Linked DNA regions of Ovis aries. The main gene of each other region encodes a partner of the protein of the gene in region 2 in a complex. Links are inferred from orthologs where the notes say so. Each region holds a gene or a part of one and is shown on either strand. Other genes may lie near its edges.

Evidence for each region.
Region 1: FBXL13 (region 2) and CCDC153 share a complex: the UniProt entries of both Homo sapiens proteins name them as parts of the nexin-dynein regulatory complex. The link is inferred for Ovis aries from reciprocal best matches to the Homo sapiens genes FBXL13 and DRC12.
Region 3: FBXL13 (region 2) and DRC1 share a complex: the UniProt entries of both Homo sapiens proteins name them as parts of the nexin-dynein regulatory complex. The link is inferred for Ovis aries from reciprocal best matches to the Homo sapiens genes FBXL13 and DRC1.

The regions. Positions count from the first base shown.
Region 1 is NC_056068.1:29,499,214-29,502,965, forward strand, and holds the start of CCDC153 (coiled-coil domain-containing protein 153), read right to left. Parts: upstream 2,459-3,752; 5' UTR 2,235-2,458; intron 2,116-2,234; 5' UTR 2,104-2,115; coding exon 2,034-2,103; exon of another isoform or gene 1,749-2,033; coding exon of another isoform or gene 1,709-1,748; intron 1,636-1,708; exon of another isoform or gene 1,631-1,635; coding exon 1,565-1,630; intron 1,196-1,564; coding exon 1,052-1,195; intron 514-1,051; coding exon 265-513; intron 1-264. UniProt on the Homo sapiens protein: Component of the nexin-dynein regulatory complex (N-DRC), a key regulator of ciliary/flagellar motility which maintains the alignment and integrity of the distal axoneme and regulates microtubule sliding in motile axonemes.
Region 2 is NC_056057.1:45,810,725-45,814,376, forward strand, and holds part of FBXL13 (F-box and leucine-rich repeat protein 13), read right to left. Parts: intron 2,401-3,652; coding exon 2,291-2,400; intron 271-2,290; coding exon 106-270; intron 1-105. UniProt on the Homo sapiens protein: Substrate-recognition component of the SCF (SKP1-CUL1-F-box protein)-type E3 ubiquitin ligase complex.
Region 3 is NC_056056.1:33,577,007-33,580,758, reverse strand, and holds the start of DRC1 (dynein regulatory complex protein 1), read right to left. Parts: upstream 2,673-3,752; 5' UTR 2,608-2,672; coding exon 2,453-2,607; intron 1-2,452. UniProt on the Homo sapiens protein: Component of the nexin-dynein regulatory complex (N-DRC) a key regulator of ciliary/flagellar motility which maintains the alignment and integrity of the distal axoneme and regulates microtubule sliding in motile axonemes.

The DNA.
Region 1 (3,752 bases), on a different chromosome or scaffold from region 2:
TGTGATCCTCTGAGAGAAAGTGCTGTGAGGGCAGGGTGTGCTGTGTGTGCGTGCTAACTCGGTTAGTGCTTGACTCTTTGTGACCCCATGGAATGGGGCTATCCAGGCTCCTCTGCCCATGGGATTCTTCAGGCAAGATTACAGAGTGAGTTGCCATGCCCTCCTCCAAGGGATCTTCCCGACCCAGGGATGGAGCCCACATCTTTTAAGTCTCCTGCATTGGCGGGCGGGTTCTTTACCACTAGGGCCACCTGGGAAGCCTACCTAACTGCTCCTGCAGGCCCTTCACTTCTTCCTCCAGCTTCCTGGTGCGACTCTGCATCGCCTCCTGCAGGCTCCGGCACTGACGACTCATCTCTGGCAGAGCCGTGGGTGGCCAGGGACCCAGATGGGGAGAGAGCAGTGGAGAAAGGACAGAAGTTGTGGGTGGGGAGGGCTCTGCTTGGTCCAGTGGACAAGTGCATAAAGGTCTGTTGAGGGCCTTCCCTGGCAGTCCAGTGGTTAAGACTTCACCTACCAATGCAGGGGACGCGGATTTGATCCCTGATCTGGAAGCTAAGATCCCATATTCCTCAGAGCCAAAAAACCAAAGCATAAAACAGAAGCAATATTGTAACAAATCCAATAAAGACTTTAAAAATGGTCCACATTAAAAAAAAAAAAATCTTAAAAAAAAAAAGTCTTCTGGATTCTTGTGGTGATCTGAGAAGGTAGGGACAGAGCTAGGAAATAAGACACCCATCCGCTATGGTAGCTCAGTATGTGAATTCAGGCCCTCCTTCCCACCCACTCCCACGGGAGGAGTGAGATAAAGGCTAGGGCTGCGTTTCATAGTCCACGGGACATCAAGCACAAAGCACTGCATGTCACGGAAGGTTCCTGCCCAAGACCACAGAAGGCCCCCTCAGGATTCCTGTGGGTGCAGGGAGGGCTGAGGCTAGGTATGGCGGTTCGAAGTCCTCCTTGTCTCCCTTTCTAGCATCCTTGGGCCCTCCCAGTTGTCCTCTTCCGGGCCCCTGTCTCCCGCCCACCTGCTCGATCAACCTCACACCTGCATATATGGCCTTCCCTTCGCTCCGGGCCCCCTCCAGTTCAGCCTCCAGGTCTTTGATCCTCTGCTTCAGCTGGTCTTCCGAAGCCTTGGCTCGGCGGGCTTCATCCCTCTGCAGAGCTGTGAACAGTCCAGAGCAGCCCTCTGCACTGGTTGGGGGCTCCACTCAATCAATCAGCCCCCATGGCCTTGATGGACTCTGTCCACCTTCAGAAACCTGGCGGCAGCCTGCCAGTCTCTCATCGTCATTCTGTTTCCCTTCCCCGCCTCAGAATCCTACAGACTCTGTTACTAAGAGGGAAAAACTCCCTCTGTGTTCCAGCTATAAAAGTTAGCTTTCTTTATCAACCCTCACGGCCCACCCTGTCCTCATGACCCCAGCTCTTGACAATCTTTTCCCATTAGGGGATGGTTAGAGATCAGCTCAGCCCTCCACCATTGTTCCAAAACTTTAAGCTCCCAGGGATACACAAATGCCCACTGTCTCTGTTGCCGAACTTCTACCCTTCTTACCCAAGCGGTCTTGGAGCACCTCCTTTTCCAGCAGTGCCAGCCTGTGCATGGATTCAGCCTCCACATCTGCCCTGGCAAGACAGCAGACCCTCAGCTTGTCAGGATCTCAGCCTTCCCTACCCTCCTCCCACCCTCCTCCCATACCCTGGACTTCTCTTTTTTTTGTGGGAGATACAAGGACCATTAAATGAGGGATCTCTGATAGCAAAGCCTAATGAGTTCACTACCCAGCTCACAGTAGGTATTTGAAAGATTGTAATGAATATACAAGGAAGGCACACAGCCAGAAGGGATTCATGGGTGCTGATTTTCCCATGTTCCCAGCTCCATGGCACCCGAATATGGATATAAAGGGGGAAGGCCAAGACAGCTCCATCTTGTCACGCAGAGGGATGAATTCTCTCTGGAGGTCTCTGAGCCAGAACAAGGAGAGGCTGGGAGGCACCCACCTCCACCCAGTCTGACTCACCAGCACCTGCATTTCTTTTCTTCTTCTGGGCCCCAGCTTTTGTCCCTTTTTCTTTGGTCTTAGGTGGCATCTCCTTCCTGTCCTGGAGGGAGGGAGGGGGCTCATATTTAGGTCTGGACATGGAGACACTCTCCTGACTCCCTAGACGGAACCAGGAGTCCCAGGAGAATTAGTGCTCTCATCTCCAAGTCTGTCTCTTACACTTTCCAGAAGCTTCAGTTCTTGGTTTCCTTGGAAACTTAGGCAAGGCTGGGGCCAGGGGGAAGGATGAACCCATTTCTCTCTACCAGTCAAGCTCTAAGTACAGAAATCATTCCTCTCAACCCTCTTTCAGAGAAAATAAAGCTCAGTACCTGGCCCCTTCTCTCTTCCCATCATCCTTACCCTGCCTCTTCCTTCCTCCAAGACCCTCACTTGTCTCTGTTGTATCTCCCTGTGGCGTGACCCACTTTCCAGGAGGGGCAGAGAAAAGGCCCAACCAGCTAGGAGCCGGAGGAGGAGATTGTGTTCTGGGACCCAATCCAGAGTGGCAAATTTCATTTGGGGGTGGGACTGAGAACTGGAAGGTTGGGCTTCTGGAGGCTGCACGTTGTCCAGGCAACTGGGAAACATGGAGCTGTTAGGAAGGTACATGCATGCTTGCTCAGTCGTTATAATTGTGTCTGGTAGAAGGGGCTAAATACAATGCTTAAAATACCAAGGTCTCAGAGGGCCAATACTCTTCTTGTCCCCAGATCCTAAGTGTAGTTTGAGGAGAGAGGGCTTTGGAACTGATTAAATATGATTCACTTCTATGTAGCACTGCCTGCAATTTGGACACTTACAAATTATAGATTTACACATCCAAAATAATGCTATTGCGCTGATACAGAGGAAAAGAACTCACGGTAGCCATTTGGGGTGATTTACATTTCCCAAAGTCTCATCAACAAAATGACATTATTAAATAGGCTTAAAATTGAAGATTTCAGGAAGGTATTCTACGGTGAATGAGGGAAAGAAATTCAGGAGATGGTGGTTGAGAGAGTTTCCTATTTCAGATAAATGAGACACAGAGGAGAGTTCGACCTAGGACCTCAAGGTGCTGTGCTAAGTCACCTCAGTCGTGTTCGACTCTTGCAACCTCTTGTGACCCCATGGACTGTAGCCCTCCAGGCTCCTCTGTCCATTGGATTCTCCAGATAAGAATACTGGAGTGGGTTGCGATGCCCTTCTATCCTGACATAGATGCAAATCAAGAAGAAAGGGTACTGGTTAGAGACAGGAGCTTTTGAGTTCTCATCCTTACCCTTCTCCAGATATGTAAATTTGGGTAAGTCATTTTCCTTGCTCAGCCTCAGTTTCCTAAATCTTTGATTTTGTAAATCTTGAAAGGCTTGGATTTTCACCAGGTATTTACAGGACTATCTTCTTTTATGGTGACTTAATATATTTCCTCTTTCTCCCTATTCCTGTCTGTGGTTGATTTTCAGACAGGTGCTGAGAAAATAACCAGCTTGGTTCCCTGTGGCATTGAGTTGATTTGGGCTCCCTCTAGTGGATTTTCTTGACCTTCTAGTAAGTCTCCTGAATTTTTCTATTTAAATTATTTATGGAGCAATGTTGGGGGCACCCCTCATTTAGGGGTGCTGCCTAGCATCTTGCTGGAGTCACGAATAGTTGGAAAAATAAATCTGGGGAAGGGAGAACGCTGAGTGGCTTGCCCTGGTTAGCTGTTCC
Region 2 (3,652 bases):
TTTTTTCTTCAAAATATGGTTTCCATCATTCATACAAGGTTTATAAAACCACTCTTTAAGAAAACATTATCAAAACAACTAGTTAAGACATGAGTTCATACGAACCTGTAATATTGCTCTTTTGGGTAACTGTGAAATGTCAAAATCAGGAATCCCACCTATAAGAAAGTCTTCAGACACAAATTGTTCAGGAAAAAAGTGTTCTTCTTTAGAATTTGCTTTGAATTTTAACTTGGAGAATTTTTGTAATTGAAGTTCATGCTTTAGCATCTGCCATGAAAATAATTTACAGATTCCATGGAATTGTTGTAAGGACTAAATGAGACGATACATATAAAGCACAATGCTTGATATAATGACAGCACCAATTAAACATTATTATCATCATCATTATATAAATTATCATTGTCCAGGGCATATGTAATAGTCTCTGAACCACCAAAGCATTATAGATCATTTCCACTAGTTGTCATACAATACTGGCATAGGCAGTCACCTTGAAGATGTGGGCCAGCCTTCTCTTATAGAAATGAGAAAGCTGAAACCTAGAGTCAAGGTTCTGGTAATGACAGAACTGATACTTGGGGCATGGAAGGGTAAGGGTTACCCTGGAGCTGTAAGAGGAGAGTCAGGGGACTTCTCTGGTCTCCAACCTCTCACTATCAAGAGCCTGGGTTCAAGGTCCCTGGTTGAGGGACCTAAGATGCTAGAAACCGTGTGGCATGGCCAAAAATGAAAAAAAAAAAAAAGTGTATATATATATGTGTGTGTGTGTGTGTGTGTGTATGTGTGTATATATATATATATATATATATATATATATATATAAACGTTTTTCTTAAAAAAAGTCAGAAGGAAAGAATTTGGAGAATTGCCTGATGTATCATTACAGTAAATCCCCATTTTTACTTTCAATCCATTCATTAAGAGCGCATAATCAAGGAAAAAACCCTCAAGGGTAAATAAGTGTTGTACCCATACACACACACAATTTTCCTGCAATATATGTACATACTAGAGCCTAAGGAAGCGTGCACAGTGGAGAGCTGGCACGTAGCTCTCTCCTCCCAGCAGACACCTGCTGTCCTCACTCCACCCTAGTGAGTGCAGCAGTACCACTAGGCCAAGAAATCACATAGCTAAAATAAAACATTTTCTTTAAATACTCAATTAACTATTTAATACATATCTACTCTAGTACTCTTGCCTGGAAAATCCCATGGATGGAGGAGCCTGGTAGACTACAGTCTATAGGGTCGCAAAGAGTCGGACACGACTGAGCGACTTCACTTTCACTGCTTTCACATATTAGGGATAATATTACTGTGTCATATATAATATACACTATCATACATATTTATATATATATATATATCAATTACTACAAAACATCATGTTTAGTGTATGGGGATGGTTAAAGAGAACAGTGCTGCCTTCTCTCAGGGACATTCAGTTTAAGGGGATATAAAACGGCAGCCTGGTCACGCAGTTACCTTTTCACCAGGAACCGTAAAATGGGGTTTAATTTCTTCCTAGTTTTCTCTTTCTTATTTATCCCGACTTTATATTTCAGACTATTAGTAAAACATTACATACTAAATAATATAACTACAAAAAATTCCAGCATGTTTCTGTATCTGTTCCTAGTAGTTACTATGAATATTCTAAAAAACATTAAATGATAATTTACTATGCTGATAGCTAAAGCAAACTAGAGATGTTTTTATTATTATAAGTTTGAAGGAGTTTGCCTGGATGCTCTGTTTTGACTGCTTTAATTTCTAATACGTGTCCCAGTTAAGAATGATTCAAGTGTAGAAATTTAGTAGCTTTAAAGATAATTTAGTATTAAGATTTTAATTTACTAAATTGGATATTGAAAAGAGTAGATAGAAATGCAACCTTATCTAGAAAAGAATAAATTTAGTCTACCATTTATTTCTGTTATAATCATATCAAACCATTTCTCTTCCACTTTAAACATTTATTTCCACCTAAACACTTGCTTAAACAAAATTCTTAGTGTCTTTATCAATAAATTAAAATGAAATGTTAAAAAGATGTTTCCTTGATGTTGAACTTCAAATGAAAGAGCAAAATTTATTAGGAAATATTTTGGGTAAGTGAGGAGGCATTTAGATTGTTAAATTAAAAGAAAAAGGACCCCTTTAAAAGTATATAATATGCAAGTCTTCAGTGTTTTCCACGCGTAGCGTTATCATCTGAGACAACATCAATGTAACAGCAAAGTTCAGTTTCTAAAAAACAGTAAGTGTCCAATATGCCATACCAGCTCATCTTCTCTCTTTTTAAACTTATGTCTTGCTCTATCCCTCCATTTACTTAGGATAACTATCATCTTGTAGCAGTGGAACATCTTTTGTATCCGCAGTAGTGCATCTGAAGAAAATGCATTAGATTACTGTATATAATTGCACAGTATTATGATTAATATTCTATCAGGTTTATAACATGAAACAATGCTGCATTTGATAGTTTTTATTTTAATTGCATCTGAAATTGATTACTATTGACAGCAAAATATAGTACTGCTGAGACTTCATTAACTTGTAAACATTACCTTTGCCCTTATAAATTAAGATATTATAGATGTAACAAAATGTCAAGTTATATAGCATATCCTTTTAAACAAATCTGTTCTTTATAAAACCAGAACTTCCAGATTTATTCATAGAAATAGAGTCATGAGATAGTACTTTTAAATGCCCTGTGATTAAATAGATTGCTCGCTCTCTCTCTCTCTCTATATATATATATATATATATATATATATATATATATATATATATATATTTTATGTTTAAGCAGGGGTCCAAAGCTCAAACACAGGGGCCAGGCCAAGAAGGAGGATGATTAAGGCAGGCCTTGGGGACACCATTCTTAACTATAGCTAATTGCTTCCTCTCAGAAATAGAGACCCACTACCTAGCTTAGTCGGTAAAGAATCTGCCCGCAATGTAGGAGACCTGGGTTCGATTCCTGGGTTGGGAAGATCCCCTGGAGAAGGAAATGGCAATCCACTCCAATATTCTTGCCTGGAAAATCCCAGGGGCAGAGGAGCCTGGCGGGCCAGGGTCCATGGGGTCGCAAGAGTCGGATATGACTTAACGACTAAACCACCACCACCACCCTATGTTAAAATCACCAGAGTCCACTCTGAGGTACCAACAGGAGCCAATCAAGAGGAAAGGATTTACTGATTTGCAGCAGCCATAAACAGATCAATATGTAGTTAGCTGGATGGACTCTCTATTCCTGCTCTGAAAAGCACATACATGTACTGTCCACTCATTACAGCTATCGAGGGTTTAAGTAAAAGAAAATTATTTTTCTTTAAGTTTTCTCAGAAATTCATTAAATAAAATATAAAGAATAAAGAGCTGTTTATAAAAAACAGTCAATTTTGATATCTATCTGTCCATCTACCTATCTATCCCAACTCTCTATTTTATAAAAAAAAGTTAATAGTAGCTCCCTATTTATATTGAAACTTGTATATATATCACACAAATAGATATAGAATTTTATTTAAAATATGCCTGCTTTCTATTACACTAAATCTCTTTGAGACAAATCTCATTACATACTTTAAATTAGTGACTTTACATTTCATGACAATTTTCTAGACATA
Region 3 (3,752 bases), on a different chromosome or scaffold from region 2:
TTCATAGTATATTTCACCATATACAAAAATATATTCCATAGGGATAAAAATTCGAATACTAAAAAGAACACAATCCAGGATTTCCTTGGTGGTCCAGTGGTTAAGACTCTGAGTTTCCAATGCAGGGAGTACATGTAGGATCTTAGCTCGCTCCCCATGGAACCTGCCTCCCCTGCATTGGAAAGGCAGAGTTTTTTTACTCCAAGTGGCATGTAGGATCTTTGTTCCTCCAAACCATTCCCTAAAGAGCAACAAGGGTGATCTTAACATGCTTAGAAAGTTGAGAAATTCTCACACTAGGTTGTTGGCCTGTGGGTAAGAGCTATAGCCATATGGAAGGTCAAATGGACACTCCAAAACTGCACCCAAGTGCACAAAAAGCAATACTGTATACCAGGGCTACGGTAGGGATTAGCATCACCCTTAGGGATCTCAAGGACTTCCCAGGTGGCTCAGTGGCAAAGAAGCTGCCTGCCAATGCAGGAGACGTGGATTCAATCCCTGGGTTGAGAAGATCCCCTGGAGAAGGAAATGGCAGTCCATTGCAGTATTCTTGCCTGGAAAATTCCATCGACAGAGATGCCTGGTGGGCTACAGTCCACAGGGTCACAAAGAGCTGGACATGACTGAGTGGTTGAGCACACAGTACAATTAGGAATCTCACAGATGTGGGAGTGGTGGTGCCTATCAAATCACCATTTAATTCACTGGTCAGGTCCCTGCAAAAACTGGATGGATGGAGCCAAGAAAATGATTGTCAATTACTGCAAGCTCAAGCAAGCAGCAGTCCTAATTGCAGCTGTCATGCAGGTCCTTGCTTGAACATATAAGTGTGGCCTTAGGTACCTGGAATGTGGCCACTGATTGAGCCAAATATGCTATTTCTACCTCAGTCAGGAAAAAGGATTAGGAAGTTCATATCGAGGAGGAACAGATAATACACACTCATACAGTCCTCATACTTGCAGGGCCATGTCAATGCTCCTGAGCTGACAAACTAGAGTCTAGATAGATCAGGACCACTTGGATATCCCACAGAGCATCACACTGATCTGTTATCTCAGGGCTGCCAAACTTTGGCTGATGGGCCAAATCTGATTCACTTGCTTTTGTATGGCTCAGGAGTGAAGAATGATTTTTTTACATTTCAAATGGTTTTTTGAAAAGATCAAGACGAATAGGCAGAGTGCAGGGGATTTTTAGGGCAGTGAAACTCTTCAGTACAGTACTGTGATGGGTAGATACATGTCATTATATATTTATCAAGATCCAACTGTTGTACCAATGTACCATTCTGGTGGAGAATATTGATAGTGGAGGAGGTTATACATGTGTAGAGTGCGTGTTAGTCACTCAGTTGGGTGTGACTCTTTGTGACCCCATGGACTGTAGCCCACCAGGCCCCTCTGTATGGGATTCTCCAGGCAAGGATACTGGAGTGGGTTGCCATTTCCTTCTCTAGGGATCTTCCCAACCCAGGGATTAAATCCAGGCCTCCCACATTGCAGTTAGATTCTTTACCATCTGAGCCACCAGGGTAGCTTCATACATGTGTAGAAGTAGGGGGTAAATGGGAAACCTCTGTAGTTTCCACTCAATTCTTCTGTGAACCTAAAACTGCTCTAAAATATGAAGTGTATCAATTTTAAAAAAAAAGATCTAAAGATGAAGAATATTCTGTGACACACGAACATTATATGAAATGCAAATTTCAGTGTCCTTAAGTTAAGTTTTTGTTGGAACACAGCCACATCACTCTGGGCCCCTTGTGTCCAAAGACCGGCAGACAACAAGAGAAGCACCATCTTGGCAAGGCAGCTGACCCTGACCAGCAGGACGAGGTATAAGCGCTGTCACACAGTGCGGTGTTCAGGCAGTCACAGGTTCACGCAAGTTCCCCTCGATCCCCCTTCTTAAGACAGGCCACAAAGTCTGTGAGTGGACGAGGGTGGCAACCCCAGCCTGAGAATGGTACAGTTATCAGCCTCAGACTCTGCAGGAAAACGGTTTTGTGTCACACAACCAGTTAAGCCACTGAAACCAACAGAAGTGATAGCCGAGGTCTGCTCTGTAACCCCTTGTGGAAGGAAGGCACGCTGGGAGGCAAGGAGGAAAGAACGATCTCGGGGGACCGGTCATGAAGCCCCAACATCTTCAGGTACGGCCCACAGTGCCTGGCGCAGCAGGCTCTCCGTGAACGTGCTGGAGGGATTCCTGTTTCCATCTTTGACTTTGCTAAGTGTATTCAATGCTTTAATATCACATACTTTGTTTGAACCTTCTGGCAGAAAAGTTTTCTATCTCATCAAGAAGCAAGACCAGCTCACACGTAGGGCACGCGAGCCCCTCACCACAGGGGCTCCGGCCTGGAGAAGCCACCCCCTCATTCCAGCACCCAGGTCACCTGCACCCCGGGCGCTCCTTGGAAGAACGCGCCCAAACCCTGACTCACCGCCTCCGAGCTTCCAGGCGCGCCGCAATGCGCAGGCGCCGGGCCTGGATCCGCTCCTGAGGATTATCAGAATGTACGGAGGGTCCGAGAATTGGGGTGGCTAAATGTTCATCCTCCTTCTCCTCCAGGACCCCCAGGGATCCTGGCGGATTCATGGCAGGTGCCTTCCGCCCCCCGGGCAGCCCTGCCTGGACCACCGTGGGACTACAGTTTGGTTGCTAACAACAAAGCTGTTGCCAGGGAAATGCAGTCACCTGACCCGCAGCTGGCGTGGTTGCGCGCGCAGCCCCTAAGGCCGGGCGCACTGGTGTTCTTAGCGCCGTTGTCTCAGCTTGGGGTTTTATTCCTCTGCTGCAATTACGGTGAGGACTGTATTGAATCCCCCACTAAGGCTCAGGTGGTATTAACAGAGGCCGGAAGACTTAAGAGCTGAACCAAGTTGTGATTCATCACTTACCTACCCTATGATTAATTCATCCATCAAATAAATAATCCTCAAAATCACCGTATTCAGCTAATGTAATTCAATGTCTACTCTATGCCAATCACTGTGCTAGCTCCGAGGATCCAAGCGTTGTCTTTTCCTCGATGGAGGGGGTAGAATAATAGGTTCACTCAGAAATTCTGAACTAAAGTACATTGCATCCACCTGCTTGTCATCCATTCTTTTTAAAAATTAATATGTATAACTTTACTTTTGGCTGTGCTGGGTCTTCTTTGCAGCAGGCGTTTTTCTCTAGCTGCCGCGAGCGGGAGCTACTCCTTGTTGCAGTGCATGGGCTTCTGATTGCGGAGCAAGGGCTCTGGGGCGCAAGGGCTCTGGTAGTTGCCGCTCCTGGCTGCAGTAGTTACAGTCTCCAGGCTCCAGAGCACAGGCTCAATAGTTGCAGCACACAGGCTTAGTTCTTCCGTGGCACGTGAGATCTTCCCAGATCAGAAATCCAACCTTTGTCTCCTTCACTGGCAGGCGGACTCTTTACCACTGAGCCGCGGAGGAATTCCCATCATCCATTAGTGTTTGAGCTCCTACTTTGTGTATTCAGCCTCTATCGTCTCTAGAATGTGAAAACCCCCTGCCATCAATAAATGTATATCCAACAAGGAACCGTTGTCTTATGTAGCGGTTTTCAGTAGGGCTGCACTCCCTCCATTACTACCCGCAATCACATACAGAAAAAAGAGGAGAGCAGAGAAAAACAGGTAGGAAAGGGAGTGAGGGGGGAGGAATGAAAGTTAAGAGCACAGAAGCACATTTAAACTTTCGAAGGACTACTGTCCCTTGAAAAGCACTATTTCCTGG